Linked DNA regions of Schizosaccharomyces pombe. The gene in region 3 interacts genetically with the main gene of each other region. Each region holds a gene or a part of one and is shown on either strand. Other genes may lie near its edges.

Region 1 (4,488 bases), on a different chromosome or scaffold from region 3:
AAGTATGAGGATCTTAATTTACAATTTAAAGTACATTTTCAATGATAGCAATTGAAATTGTTTTTTGCATAAGGAGATAGAGGTGATCTAGTTTATCTCGTTCATATTGATCTTACTGACTTTATATTAAATAGTACAATTCACCTCGGAAAATTTGGTTCATTTCTCGCTGATGATTTGTTTGGAAAGCATTTTGACGAAACTTTTGAAATTTATCAACCCAAAAAAATTCGAGTTTTAAAAACAAGGGAGGTACAGTATATCGAGGAAGAAAAGAAAACGAATCAAGAACTTAATGATTGTCGAGGCAATCAGCTTATGACTCAAGAGGAGATTGATGAACTGCGCGCAAACATTAAAGCTGGTGGACTTCGTGCTGAAGAGGCCATCAAACAGTTGACTAATAGTAGTAAAACTTTTGAGCAAAAAACTTTATTTGCTCAGGAGAAATATGTTACGAGAAAAGGGGAAAAGTATCTTCAACGCTTTCAGGTTTTACGACCTTGTGTTGAAGTTGTGGCTAATTACATGATTGAACATGATCCGTATAAGATACTTGATCTTACTGCCGAGTGTATAAGCTTGATGCTTACTCTTGGAAATGTTAAACCTGGGGGTAGATATTTGGTAGTTGATGAGACTGGATGCATGTTCCTTGGTTCTCTTATTGACCGTGTTGCTGGTGATTGCAAAATAACCCTGGTCCATCCAAATGAGCAACCTAATAGCTCTTGTTTAGAGTATTGGGGGCAAGACTTTAAAGAGGATAGTTTGGTTCAAAAAGGGATTTTGAAAACTTTGAATTGGTATCAAGTTACGAATCCAACCGAGACTTTAAGTGAGTATTCGGTTGAAGATATTCCTGAATCAGAGTTGAATGAGATGAAACTTCGCCACCGTAAGCGCTATGAAACGAAGAAAGCTACATTTAACCGTTTGAAGAATACTATTGATGATTTTGAAAGTGGTAACTATGATGCTCTCTTTATACTATCTATTCACACCCCAATGTCTGTTCTTCAACATCTTCTTCCAAAGCTCGGTATATCACGTCCTTTCATGGTATACTCAACATATCAGCAAGTCTTAGTCGAGACGTATCATCAATTATCTAAATGGGATAACTTATTTGTAGAAAAGACAGCTCAAAGTACTGAAAATGACGAAAAGGTTGATCAAGGAGACGTTGCTATTGATACACAGAAAGAGAAAGTCATCATGCTGGATATTCATGAGATTCGTACACGACCTTACCAAGTCTTGCCAGAAAGGACTCATCCATTCATGACTGTTAGGGGTGATATGGGTTTCGTTTTATCTGGGATCAAGGTGTTAACTTCTGACAGCAATCTAGCTGCCGGAAGGTTTCCAAAACGTAAGGGCCAGAAAGAAACTTCTTCTGTCAAAAAAGCAAAATTGGAAAATTAGATATGAAATATTACTTTTGGAATATTTTTTTCAAGGCTACTCTATTAGATCAACAAGGGGAGTTACAATTTTGGACATAAACTCAGTTACGTTGAATTGGGAAAAGGTTTTTGTTATATTAAAAAGTTTTTTGTTTCATTCTTTAACTTAAAATTTTCATACGTATCAGAAAATGAATATGTTAGTTGGATAATGTAATTGACGGTGCGGTTTCAGGTTAACTCAATTTTGAAGAGCGTTAAAGTACAGTGTCTTTTGCTTGGCATTTTCATTCTTTTTAAAAATAGATTACTTGTAATAAGTATAAAATTAGTTACAATTTGACTGCTGCACATATACGTATTTAAGTAAAATAAGTAGTACATGGTCAGAGCAGCTGTGGATAGCCTTTTTGATCTTAAGCATGTTAATTTTAAATAAATATAAAAACTGATGAAAAAACAGCTTATAAATGACAATGTCGCATTTTGGTCTTATTTACTCGGTATAATGAACCCCATACTAGCGCTATCGCCAAGTTCGTTAATTTCGAAAGGACACCTAACCACGCTCCTTTCACCACTAAGCTTTACTTCGTCGAGTTTATAACCAATGACTGAATTTATTGGTTCTCGTATTAGTCTAATTAGCAAATCTGACATTCGGTACGTGAGAGCATTATCTTTCCTTTACTAATATTTAGTTATGTGGGCATTTTGCAGGACATCAATTCCCAGGACTCAACACTGGCTTTGAAGCATGGTAGGTTGAGTACCCAGCATTGATTACTAACAGTTTAGTCCGTTGGTGTGGTACTGAAGGAAGAAAACAAGATCCCTCTCAAGAAATCCCCCCATCAGATAATGTATTTGATTACATTGTTTTTCGTGGAAGCGATGTTAAAGATTTACGGATTGAGGAACCTGCTACTACTCCTTCTGCTCCCCCGGTTCAACCTCCTAATGATCCTGCAATTATTGGGGTATGTTACGTCTAAAGAGTGGTGGAGATTCTCATTAGTATATCTAGTATTAATTATCTTTGGCACTCTTTATATATCTGACAAGATCATGATTTTAACTATAATTAGTCTAATAGCGGGCAGTATAATTGGAACCAAGCGCAGACTGCCCAACCTCCTCAGCCTGTTCAACCTAACCCTTATGGAGCTCCATACCAACAGGCTCCTCCAGCAGGTGCACCTTACTATATGTACCCGAATGCTCCCGCTCAATTTGTACCTCCTGGAGGTTTGCCTTTGGGTACTCCCTTAGACGCATCCACACCTGCGGTCCCGTATTATGGGGCACCTGATCAACAGCAAATGGGTCAACGTCCTGAGTTTGCTCAAAATGTTTCTCAAGGGTTTGCCGGTCAGGCCCCGTACAACGTACGTCCTGGATACGGAATGCCTTCAAACCAGAAGCCTCCCAACTTTGCTCCGGGCATGCCTGCTCCTGGTCCTACCGCGGTATCTGCATCTCCGTCTCTTCAATCCATGCCGCCCACGAATGGAGTGATACCAGGTGCACAGCCCTCCATTGAAGCATCTATTGAAAAAGAAAGTACTAGTATACGGAATTCCACTGTCACAAATGACCGTGTTGTGAATACTACTGTGGATGTCTCTCAATCCCAAACCGTTGAAACATCTGGACCTTCTAAAGAAGTTCCTACAACTCAACCTGATGCTAGTGCTGCAAAGCCTCGTACCGAATTTGACTTTCAAACTGCAAATCAAAAGTTTCAATCGATGAAAGATGATTTGTTAAAAGGAAAAAATGATGAAGAAGCCGAAGAATTTTACAAGCCTAAGCAATCTTTTTTTGATAATATTAGTTGTGAAAGTAAAGAGAAGGGTATGGAAGCTGCAGATAGAAGAGCTCTACGAGATCGCGAACGTTCTTTGAACATGGAGACATTTGGCGTTGCTGGCTCTGGAAATCGCGGCCGTCGTGGACGTGGTCGTGGACGTGGTGGTAGAGGTCGTGGACGTGGATATGCAAGAAATCAATATAACCAATACAGGAATTCCAATGGCTCTCAACCTAGAGCCCAGCCTGCAAACGACCAATGAACTGCATTTCTTATAATGAGTACAGATGAAGTATCCTCGTTTCTCTAGATTGAGCTTCGTCTTCGTTTCAATCATGATGAACTCAAAATTTATGGACATGTATTTAACGACCCGAAAAAAGGTGTTCTCTTATATAAACCAAAAGGATTAGTCGTTGTTATTTGATATTTAACTTAGGAGTTTTGTTAAGTTCTTGTAGAGTGCTTTAAAAACTATACTTATCTGCTCATGTATTACGCAAGAAGAACAAGCATTGAAACGATATCCTATACCGAGATTTCGTAAAGGTATTACGAATAAATGTTAATGGGTTACATATAATTACCAAAAGGTTGAAGACTTAACCAATCCGCTAATGTTTATTCTTTTATACACCTTGATAGACCCAAAGCATCGCTGGTTGCATGACTGAACATTGAACAACCCGTGTTTTTCAACAGTCGTTTCGTTTTTGAAAAGCGTTTTGTAAAAATTTGATTCAGTCGACTTGTTTGAAGCTGACAAACTATAGAATCCAAACAACAATGTTTGAGCAGTATGAACAATTTATAAGCGAATCGTTTTAAAAATAAAAATGTGCTCTCTTAATTTTAGCATTTTTTAATAGTTTAAATTTCACGAACTTAACTACGTGATATAGTGTTTTAATAATCAGCAGTAGAAAAATTAGAACTTAATATTATTTGATCATCAACGAATATCGGAACGCAAGAGTTAACACGTAAACGATACATTACAATTATGTTTTGTTATCAAAAGTAAATTGATCCAGCGATTGAAGCTAAACCAGAGAAAAACATAAATGCGCTTCGAAATAAGTTTTTAAAACCCCATCTGTGAATTATACTGCGGAAATTTTGAGTAGCCTTTACATCTTTAAGTATTAGATCTGGATTTAACGTTTGTAAAGAGTTAATGTCCTTTTTCATAAACAAAAGCGTGAAAGGAATAATACATAGTCCAGATAAAGCCGATATAGCATACAATTTTGAAGAGAATATACT
Region 2 (5,169 bases), on a different chromosome or scaffold from region 3:
TAATTATACTCAAGCTACCTAACAATTTTTCAGCATCATAAGCGGATTAGTTCATTGAAAGGCTCAACATTTTGCGAAGAACAGAAATAAATAATTTGATGATTTTTATCAATTCCAAAATCGAACTTGTAAAAATGTTGCCAATCCCATTTGTAATATCCCTATTCTGAGCTATTTCGACTGAGAAGAGATTGCCTATTATTCTCTTAGAACGTTCATTGAACGTTTTTGGAGTGTTCTGAAAAAAGATAATAAATTTAGTTGTTTTTATCTATTAATTACAATCAAAAATCGAGCCTTTAATAATGTATTGTATGGTTATCAAAAAGCTTTATTTATTTCTAACAACGCTAAAAAACTTTTTTTTTTACTCATTTAATATAAACAAAACAGTACAACTATTTAGTTTTAAGAAATTTGATAGCATTTCTACAAATGTTTCAACTCTAAGGCTCTCTCGGATTCTGCTCATAACGCACAGATAGTGTTTAGTGAAAATTGACAGAAATAGGCGACTCAGTGAATTTATTATACATTAATTAGCTAAAAAGAAGCAACCGCCTTTCTCTGTGATTATCGTTTGGTGACCATAGGATGATATTTGGATTGGATTTATAAAAGACTTGTATACAGCGTTTGTAAAAGATCTAGCGGCTGGAAAATCAATATGAATCAAGATAAATCGAAAGAAACTTCCGAATTGGATGATCTGGCGCTTCCTCGATCGATCATTATGCGATTAGTCAAAGGTGTCTTACCTGAAAAGAGTCTTGTACAAAAAGAAGCTCTCAAGGCTATGATCAATTCAGCAACTCTTTTTGTTAGTTTTCTAACATCCGCGTATGTAATCTATATAACTATATAACCATATTGAAGGGCTTGTATGATGAAAGAATTTATTATATAATTGCCAATTTTATTTTCTTCTGGAAACACTTTGTATATGAATGAATAAAGACTAACGTTACTTAGTTCTGGGGAAATTGCTACGAATAATAACAGAAAAATTCTTATGCCTCAAGACGTTTTGAATGCGCTCGATGAAATTGAGTATCCAGAATTCTCTAAAACGTTAAAAAAACATCTCGAAGGTATGTTTCTTACTCTGTACTTCTTCTAACTATTAAAGCATATGAGCTTGCCTTGAAAGAAAAACGATTGAAACTCCCTAACGTATCAGATGTTGATAACAGAAAGAAAGCCAAAATAGACGCGCATGACACTACTCCTCTAGATGAAGAAAAAGACGAATTAGAAGAAGAACGAATTGCGGAGGATATAGCACAAAATGAAGTTGAGCAAAATATTGATGATGTGGAGGACCTCGAAGAAGTGAATGATACATTAGACGCAAACGCAGAATCTCCTCAAATAGAAACCATTCATCTTACAGATGCTACGGGAAACCCAATTGAAGATAGCTCTGAATCCGACTCAGAAGAATCTCTTCAACTTAATGATTCTTCGTAATTACTGTTGGTTAAATGTATATGAAGATTGTCAATAGTCCTAACTTACATGGAGAGCTAATCATATTTTTTTACACGAAAAACTAAACCTTCTTTATTTTTTAATGGATTTTTTGGATACCTGTTAATACCCCAATTTACATCCTTGTATCCAAACATAGCTTTTTTAAACAGCAGTTTGAGATAATGTCTTTCTAGCACAACATGTATACTCGTTTAATGACATATATTTAGAAAGAATCATTAGATTGTTTACAGTTGTAACTCAATATTAGTCAATCTAGAATTTTTTTGAAAATCAACATTCAATAGGGAGAAGGTCGAAAAGAAAAGAAAAAGTTCATTCTCGAATTAAACAAATGCATTTTATTTTCCATCAGATTAACTTATGTCAACAATTGTAAATTCAAAAGTCTGTCGCCTTTACCTTCGCACACTTTCTCTACGTAAAAATTATAAGAATGCGAATTCTAAGTTGGAATGTGAACGGTATACAGAATCCATTCAATTATTTTCCATGGAATAAAAAAAATTCCTACAAAGAGATATTTCAAGAGTTACAGGCTGATGTAATATGTGTTCAAGAATTGAAAATGCAGAAAGACAGCTTTCCTCAACAATATGCAGTTGTTGAGGGATTCGACAGTTATTTTACATTTCCTAAGATCAGAAAAGGCTATAGTGGGGTTGGATTTTATGTAAAAAAAGATGTTGCTATTCCAGTGAAAGCAGAAGAGGGAATTACTGGCATCCTGCCAGTACGAGGACAAAAATATTCATATTCAGAAGCACCGGAGCATGAAAAGATAGGATTTTTCCCAAAAGACATTGACAGAAAAACTGCTAATTGGATTGATAGTGAAGGAAGGTGTATATTATTAGATTTTCAGATGTTCATCCTAATCGGTGTTTACTGTCCAGTAAACTCTGGAGAAAATAGACTAGAATATCGACGGGCCTTTTATAAAGCCTTACGAGAAAGAATTGAAAGATTGATAAAGGAAGGAAATCGAAAAATCATTCTCGTTGGGGATGTGAATATTTTGTGTAATCCTATTGACACTGCTGATCAAAAAGACATTATTCGAGAGAGTCTTATTCCAAGCATCATGGAATCAAGACAATGGATACGTGATTTATTACTACCAAGCAGGTTGGGACTACTGTTGGACATTGGCCGTATTCAACATCCTACTCGGAAAGGAATGTTTACATGTTGGAATACAAGACTTAATACAAGGCCCACAAATTATGGTAAGTTCTGAATTGTTATTTTTTTTACAATGGATAGGTACGAGAATTGATTACACTTTGGCAACACCCGATTTATTACCTTGGGTTCAAGATGCAGATATTATGGCTGAGGTCATGGGTTCAGATCATTGCCCCGTATATTTAGATTTAAAAGAAGAATATGAAGGAAAAAAGTTGTCCAACTTTCTAAGTCACTCAAAAGAACCACCTTTACTATCAACGGCGCATCATTCAGCCTATCGGCCATCAAAAAATATTCATTCAATGTTCCAACATTTCAATTCGATGAAAAAGAATAAAAACAACTCACCCACTCAGAGCGAAAACGTATCTGCTTCTGCGTCCAGCGGCTCCTCACCAACTGTTTCTCGTGCAAACTCTGTCATAGACGTCGATGCCTACCCACCGGAAAAGAGAAGACGAAAAGAACAATCGAAGCTTCTTTCATTTTTTGCGAAGCAAAAGGAAGAGAAAGAAGAAACCAATAAAACAGAAGACGTTTCGATTGAGGTCCTTGATAACAATAATGAATCTGACATAGGGTTGACAGTAAAAAAAAAAGTAGAAAACGGGAACGCCTGGAAGCAAATATTCAGTGAACGAGCTCCTCCACTTTGTGAGGGTCACAAGGAACCTTGCAAGTATTTGACAGTGAGGAAGCCGGGAATCAATTACGGGCGGAAGTTTTGGATTTGTGCCAGACCGGTTGGTGAACTGATTAAAAACTCAAATGCAGTTTCTGAGGAAGATACTCAACCGTTCCAATGCAGGTTCTTTATCTGGGACTCAGATTGGAGAGCAAATTCAAAGGACTGAAAATTTGTAATGACTAGCATAACTTGCTCTTAATCAATTCTCAATTTTGATGTGTATAAACCGCAAAAAGCATTGAGCAGTGCATCACACATCTTTCATTAACATTCTTAATATGTATATACGGAATTTTGTACGGTTAAGATTTCTTTTTTTGAGATCCGAGCATCATTTCCAAACATATAACTTTGTTTGGATGTACTTTTCTTCTGCACACCGGACATTTTTGTGTGGCAGCCGTTGTACCTAAAGCACTTAGTATACAAAAATTGCAAAATATATGCCCACAGGGAGTACAAGATAGGTTTTCCGGACTATCCAGACAAATTACACACTTATAATCAGCTAGTCGTTGTGAAGATGGAACAACCTGTTTTTTGCTAGGTTCTTCTTTTTCAATTTCGGCGTTGGTGGTCGATGGGTTCTTTCCCTGTTCAAATTTTTGTTTTCTTGGATCATAGGAAGTCTCATCAGTTAAATCAATCATATCGCTTATAGTAGTAGGTTGCGCGTGAATACTATTAACATTTGTTAAACTGTTTTCAACGGAAGCTGGATGATTGTTGTAGGTGAATCTTTGATTTATGTCATCAGCATCATTCTGAAAATTAATGTCTTCCAAGTCGAATACTTCACTTTCCACATCTATGTTTAAATCAGAGGTTTCAACAGGTAGTGTTTCTTCTTGTGCTAGCTCCGAAGCAACCTCTCTTAGCGACCTTGGTGCACGATTCAGTGGTAAAGACTCATTCTCAGAGGTAGTGCCTGAAGGATAGTCTGTTGCATCTTCTGAAACCGGAAATCCGTTTCCTGGCGAATTCTCTACTGGAGAAGAACGTCTCCTATTTATTGCTGCATTTCCAGCTGCGACTCTAGCGGATTGAGATGGGATATTGTATGGTGCAGATAAGTTTCTAACGTTGGTATCTCTCTTATGTGCGGGTGGCATTTTTTTGCCAATTGGTCCTGAAATTCGAAAATAGTTTATAGATTATTGATTAATGGGCTAATATTAGGATAATTTTGATCGTATCCTAATCGATTGTCAAATGCTTTTCAGGCTTGCTAGAATAATAAAAGAGAATTGTGTTAACGTCAATATACGCAAACAGCAATTATTTTGGCAACTTGCCAACAAGTTTAAAATTAAATTTAGTAGACCTATGATTTTTGAAGTCTACATGGAAAAATTGGCTCACTACCACAATGTTGTAAGATGCTAGTCTAATTAATATTTATGACCTTTTTCATGAGCACATTCAATAGCGCAAGCGGTATTTCAAATAAGAAAAGAGAACAGAAAAGCTGGTAAAACTTAATTGTGTATCAATAATCTTTTCAATGCAGTTCATTAAACTGCGCAACCGACATTATTATGAGTATTCCATAAACTATGCAAAAATGTATTATGGAGTGCATTAAGGAATGCTAAAATAAAAAAACGATAACAATGTATATCGCTATTTCTTTTCCAAATTGTTGAATATTAGAGGAGTGTATATACTTAGCATCAACCAACGCCTTTTTTTTAATCTAGGTCTGGGTAGACGCAATGGTCAAAAGCTATACGCGGTACGAACCAACCGAATTTTTTGGTGTCATTGCGTCTTCGGGATGTAATATTCTCGGTCAA
Region 3 (5,899 bases):
AAATGTAGAACCATTTGTGAACGCTGGGATCAACAGGAGCAGGAGCGAGCTCTTGAGCAGGAGGAATAGTGCTGGAAACGGAAGGGTCATTGGCAACAGATCCAGTGACTGAAACATTGACCAAAGAAAAGTCAGACTTGGCATCAGTCTTACCGGTAATAAGGCGCTCCCAAGCTTCATTGCACTCACGAACAACTTCTTCAGCATACTTACGGTTCTTGCATTCACCACTGAAAGCAAAGGAATTTTCAGGCTTGCCATCGGGGATCTTGTAAATGCGGAACCACTCGTTAGTAGCACGGATTAAGCCAGGCATATGACGTTCAACATCCTCAATATCATTAAGCTTAGGAGCTAAAGGGTCATTAACGTCGATGACAATAACCTTCCAGTCAGTCTCACCCTCGTCAAGAAGGGCCATAACACCCAAGACCTTAACTTGCTTGACTTGGCCGGTGTAGCCACGAGCTTCACCGATCTCACAAACATCGAGAGGATCGCTATCACCCTTGGCCTTGGTTTCAGGATGAACAACATTAGGATCCTCATAGGTTTGAGGAAAAGCACCGTAGTTCCAAATGTAACCGTGGTGAGGAAAGCAGTTACGAACGAAACGAAGCTTACCCTTCTTAGTATCTTGCTTGATAGGGTTCAAGGTAGCTTCCTTGGTAATTTCAAGCTTAGCCTGAGTCCAACGAGGGATCTCAACGACCATGTTCAAGATGGTCTTCTCAGCATTGGCATACAAGGGGATATCGTGCCAAGAAGAGATAGGAGTACCATTTTTCTCAACATAGACTTGGTAGTCCAATGTGTTCAAAGCGCCAACTTCACGGGTAGTGTATTCACTCATGACTGAAAAGTGTTTTTGGTTAAGTACAGGTTGCAATGTGCACTAATTCGCAACATCTGCTACAAAATTTGTAACTCAATGTATACAAAAAATCTTATATTAATTTATAAAATTTTCTAAGGAACAGGTTTATATTTTTAATATCGCATGTTTTTATTTTATACAGCATAAAGATGGATTTGTGAATCTTACATAGGGTAATACTGTTATAAAGTTACTTTCTTTAGCAATACTTTATTAAATGATTGATAGTAAAGGAGATTTCCACAACATGATAAAAATTTAGCACAAATAAATTATTAAAATTAAATTGTTTTACGAGAATTTATCAATTTTTTATATTAAACACAATCAAAGATATTTATTAGCCTTGTATGCAGGTTTCTTTTCTGTCGATATGGATCTTGTGGAATACTGATTTTGCGATCAGTAAATTCTTGGCTGATGCAGTAGAAGCCATAATGTTTATATAAAAATATACGAAATATTTAAATTAATTAATTATGGAAATTTTTGTTTTTAAATTCCAGATCAGCTACTAAAAAAGATAAATGACAAACGAAAAAATAATGCAAAAAAAAGCTCATACATAAAAACAAAATATTGCCGATGTCCTTCATTTTTTGTTTAAAAATAAACGGTTTAATTTTAAACGATACCAAAAAAAAAAAACTAATGTTCGTAAATAACGAGATATGCAATTGTTAATGAATAAGATGTAGGTCTCAAATATGTTATTTGTGAAATCTTTGAATGGTTGCCAAATAATAAATTAGACGAATAAATTAAAGAATTTTCTTGTTATTTATTGTCTAAATTTCTTCGAATAAGAATTATTTTCAAGTCAGTAAACATATTAAATCTTCGATTAAGGACTATATGATATAATATATCTTCTCACTAATTGTTGTATATGAGGCATTTTATGTAATTGATCAAAAACAATTGAAAATTCAATAGAGCGAAAAATAAAATTTTCATCTGTTATCCATTTTTAAGTATGTTATTGAAACCACCCATTTTCATTGCTATGCAATTATAATATAGCTAACTCAATTACCAAGTCCCATTTAGTATTTCGTCAATCGCGATGTCGTCGAAAAAAAGAAAGTCTCCCCCCCAGGAATCTTTAACTTCATATTTTGAAAAATCGTCTAAATCCTCAAAAAAGTACGGCTCTCAAAACAAAGATTCTGATTCATCCTCGACATGCCTTCAACAGAAAATAGAAATTCAATGGAGCATCACCGATTCATTATACATAGCAAAGTATGGAAAACTAAAAAAGACTAAAAAATTTATTGCATTTGATTTAGATGGAACGCTCATAAAAACTAAATCTGGTAGAGTATTTTCAAAAGATGCAGCTGACTGGACCTGGTGGCATCCAAGCGTTGTCCCAAAATTGAAGGCTTTATACCAAGACAATTATTCTCTTGTTATTTTCAGTAATCAAAACGGAATTCCAAGAAAACCTTCTGCCGGACATACCTTTCAGATGAAGATTCGTGCTATTTTTGAGTCATTAGATCTACCTATTGTATTGTATGCTGCCATCTTGAAAGATAAGTTTAGAAAACCATTGACAGGAATGTGGAATTCCTTTTTAAAAGACGTGAACCGTTCAATTGGTGAGTTGACGCTTGTAATTTATCAAGGCCTATTAACATTTTTCACCCTTTAGATTTATCTTTCATCAAATACGTAGGTGATGCTGCAGGCCGTCCGGGTGATCATAATTCAACTGATTTAAAGTTTGCTGAAAACATTGGGATTAAATTTGAGACGCCCGAGCAATTTTTCTTGGGGCATTCATTTGTGCCTCCAAACTTTGAATCATTTCATCCAAAGAATTACCTTGTAAGAAATTCTTCTTCACATCCATACCATTTTAAAAAATCCGAGCATCAAGAAATTGTTGTTTTAGTTGGGTTTCCTTCTTCTGGGAAGAGTACTTTAGCTGAATCTCAGATTGTCACTCAAGGATACGAAAGGGTAAATCAAGACATCTTAAAAACGAAATCAAAATGCATCAAGGCTGCCATAGAGGCACTTAAAAAAGAAAAATCGGTTGTCATAGGTATGTACTCGATCATTTCAACGACTTACGCGATTTCAGACAACACAAACCCTACAATAGAATCACGAAAAATGTGGATTGACATAGCCCAAGAATTTGAGATCCCTATACGCTGCATTCATCTTCAGTCATCTGAGGAACTTGCCAGACACAACAACGTTTTCCGTTACATTCACCATAACGTAAGTTACCTGTTGGAGCATTAGAAAGACTTAGAAGAATTCCTAACCAATTCTAGCAAAAACAACTTCCCGAGATAGCGTTTAATTCTTTCAAATCTCGTTTTCAAATGCCAACAGTAGAAGAAGGTTTTACAAATGTTGAAGAAGTTCCTTTTAAATGCCTTAAAGACTATGAAGATACATGGAATTATTGGTACGAATAATACGAATGATATCTAAGAAATTATTAAATTGCATTAATTTCAAAAATATATAGTTATTGATCCCACTAAAACCAAACGTTTATAAAAATTATGACTAGCACACTTAACACCGAAATTTATCTTCAAAGCTTTAGCTGATTTGAAGAAACAATCGGATGATATTTGTTTGAATTACTTGCAACCTTTTTGCGCTCACCTCCTTTACCAATGACCTCAACATTCGATTTTGATAATTGACGAACGACTTGTTCAGTACCGGAATTCCTTCTTTTCTCAGCCATTTGCTTACGTTTCTCAGCATGTTTTCTACGCACCCGCCTGCGGCGTGCTTGCTTTTGTTGGTGGTCCATTTCAGTCGATGAAATGGCGATACCTGACCGAGTAATAGTTTCACCTTCACGATTCTCATTAGACGGTTTATAAACTTCTTGAGGAGCCAATGCCATAGTGTCAGAGGCAGCAGTTGGCTGAACGTCCTCCATTGCTAAAGTGGGTGCATTAGAAACAATTTCAACAGTAGACTCAGGAGGAGGGGGAACATAATGCCAAGAAGCAAGAGAATCTAAAGTGCGGCTGACTTCCGAAAACAATGCCTTGATTTCTTCATGTTCTTTTTCTTTCTTTTTATCAGCTTCACTCTTATATGTGTCGGCGTTGCTCTTTTTAAGGAATTCTTCTTCATATTCTTCTGCTAAAGAACGCTGAGACTTATTTTCGTTTAACTCGAATAATTCGCTTGGTCGAAATTCAGTAACAGCAACTGGCGCGCGTTTAGGTACATCATCAAATGTTTTGGAAATAATTCGGTTTTTAATTAAATCTTCTAATGTCTCAGTAGTCTCTTCCGTTTGTACAGGGACAGGTTTAGCACCAGTTTCAAATTCCAAATCAACGTCTAACAGTGAATTAGAAGGTCGTCCTTTAGACGTTGCCTCCCCCATCATGGTCCAGGACTTCTTGGCAACGTTTTCAGCCTCGAGCTCACGAATTTGCTGAGTCAAACGGGCTTTATCGCGCTCATAAGAAGATAATTGATCAGCTGAAACATCGTCTTCTTCGTCACTAGCAAATAAATCTTTCTTCACTCGATCAAAGGTAGCATACTCATTGTCAGAGCTCTCATTATTTTCTTCAATAACATTTTGTTGCACATCATTTTTGAAATCCGGTTTACTTGTTCTTTTTCTTTTGGATTCGGCCTTTTTCTTTTTTAGTTCACGGCGACCGGCCGCTGTTTTTGGACCAAAAAAATCTTCGTACATAATGGAGTCAGCCTGAGGACCATTTGATTCATCTTCAGAGTCTTCCATATTCTCATCGGGATCCATTAACAAGTCAATACCGTCATCTTCATCGCCGAGGACACCCTCTTCGACTGCTTCCTCTTCTAAAGCTAAGGTTTGCTTGTTAAAATTATCAATATCAAAAAAACCATCATTAAGTCCAAATGCGTCTTTTTTCTGTTCGATTTGTTGTCCTTCTTCATTCATAATTTCAGCTTCATCTCCTGAAACATCTTCGGCAGAACTTTCGTCGACATCTTCTAGATTTTCTGGACCAGAGAACCCTAAAAATTCATCATCAGCATCATCCCGATTGTTCATTTCACTATTGTCAGAGAGTTCCTGATGACTTGTTTCATCATCCTCATCCTGGAAAGAAGTAATGCTATCTTCTTCTTCGTCTTCGTTTTCAACATCAACTTGAGGGAGATCATCTAATGCATACTTGGCAGCTAATGCTAGTTGGTTATATATTTGCCAATTATCTAATCCTTTTGTGACAATTGTTTGGATGGGACTTGTAGATGGGATTTTTATATTTGAGAAAACCTCAATAGCTTTTTCAACCAATTGCTTTGAATCCTCTTTATTCGGGAACAAAAAGAGTGTTGGCTCGGAATTTATAAGTTCAGTCATATCAAATCTTTTTTTTTTTTTAAATCTCACAAAACTTTGACTAAATATCTTGGAAGTATTCCAAGTACGAAACAAATAAATACCAATTGAGCTTAAATATTACACACCAAACCTTTTGCAAAGTACTTGCAACTCCTTTTTCCAAAATAATCAAAAAGACGTATGTTTTTTGTTTTAGATGTTTTTTCTTTTTTGTAATGTAGTAAAATTTTAGTAAGTATGGGCATCAACAATTTACTTAGTGAAGCGTTGCGTACTATATTATATAAGAAGGGTAGGGTTTGTGACTGTTTTGGACATAAAGCTAAGTTCACCTAAATCCAACACACAGTTCGCCGCAACCTCTATACTACAAAATGGGAAAACCCGCAGGATTGAACGCCGCTCGTAAGCTTCGCAATCATCGCCGTGAGGAGCGTTGGGCCGATGCTCATTACAAGAAGCGCTTATTGGGAACCGCTTACAAGTCATCACCTTTCGGTGGATCGTCTCATGCTAAGGGTATCGTTGTCGAAAAGATTGGTGTAGAAGCTAAGCAACCTAACTCTGCTATTCGTAAATGTGTTCGTGTTCAGTTGATCAAGAATGGTAAGAAAGTTACCGCTTTCGTTCCCCACGATGGTTGTCTCAACTTCGTTGATGAAAACGACGAAGTTCTTCTT

Evidence for each region. Genes that interact genetically often act in the same process or in processes that back each other up.
Region 1: mutations in pnk1 (region 3) and sum2 together harm fitness more than expected from each alone (negative genetic interaction), as found in Schizosaccharomyces pombe (2 studies listed by BioGRID).
Region 2: mutations in pnk1 (region 3) and apn2 are lethal when combined (synthetic lethality), as found in Schizosaccharomyces pombe (2 studies listed by BioGRID, with this or other methods).

What each region holds. Positions count from the first base shown.
Region 1 is NC_003423.3:265,471-269,958, forward strand, and holds sum2 (translation initiation inhibitor), read left to right. Parts: upstream 1-1,985; 5' UTR 1,986-2,019; coding exon 2,020-2,072; exon of another isoform or gene 2,073-2,110; coding exon 2,111-2,169; exon of another isoform or gene 2,170-2,207; coding exon 2,208-2,389; exon of another isoform or gene 2,390-2,497; coding exon 2,498-3,484; 3' UTR 3,485-3,938; downstream 3,939-4,488. Other genes in the region: trm6 (translation initiation factor eIF-3 gamma subunit Gcd10), read left to right, coding at 135-1,428; SPOM_SPBC800.14C (uncharacterized protein), read right to left, coding at 4,237-4,488. UniProt on the Schizosaccharomyces pombe protein: Required for G2/M phase checkpoint control.
Region 2 is NC_003423.3:1,285,476-1,290,644, forward strand, and holds apn2 (AP-endonuclease Apn2), read left to right. Parts: upstream 1-1,913; 5' UTR 1,914-1,930; coding exon 1,931-2,723; exon of another isoform or gene 2,724-2,760; coding exon 2,761-3,539; 3' UTR 3,540-3,675; coding exon of another isoform or gene 3,676-4,485; 3' UTR 4,486-4,619; downstream 4,620-5,169. Other genes in the region: DNA polymerase epsilon subunit Dpb4, read left to right, coding at 668-840, 973-1,091, 1,130-1,470; SUMO-targeted ubiquitin-protein ligase E3 Slx8, read right to left, coding at 3,676-4,485; U3 snoRNA associated protein Dip2, read left to right, coding at 5,089-5,169. UniProt on the Schizosaccharomyces pombe protein: DNA repair enzyme that cleaves apurinic/apyrimidinic (AP) sites and removes 3'-blocking groups present at single strand breaks of damaged DNA. Provides the majority of the AP-endonuclease (APE) activity. Repairs phleomycin D1-induced DNA damage.
Region 3 is NC_003424.3:2,135,483-2,141,381, reverse strand, and holds pnk1 (DNA kinase/phosphatase Pnk1), read left to right. Parts: upstream 1-1,914; 5' UTR 1,915-1,943; coding exon 1,944-2,484; exon of another isoform or gene 2,485-2,507; intron 2,508-2,537; coding exon 2,538-2,933; intron 2,934-2,972; coding exon 2,973-3,115; intron 3,116-3,171; coding exon 3,172-3,318; 3' UTR 3,319-3,440; coding exon of another isoform or gene 3,441-5,237; 3' UTR 5,238-5,348; downstream 5,349-5,899. Other genes in the region: ipp1 (inorganic pyrophosphatase), read right to left, coding at 1-853; mpp10 (U3 snoRNP-associated protein Mpp1), read right to left, coding at 3,441-5,237; rps23 (40S ribosomal protein uS12), read left to right, coding at 5,594-5,899. UniProt on the Schizosaccharomyces pombe protein: Catalyzes the phosphorylation of DNA at 5'-hydroxyl termini and can dephosphorylate its 3'-phosphate termini. Has a role in the repair of breaks in single-stranded DNA.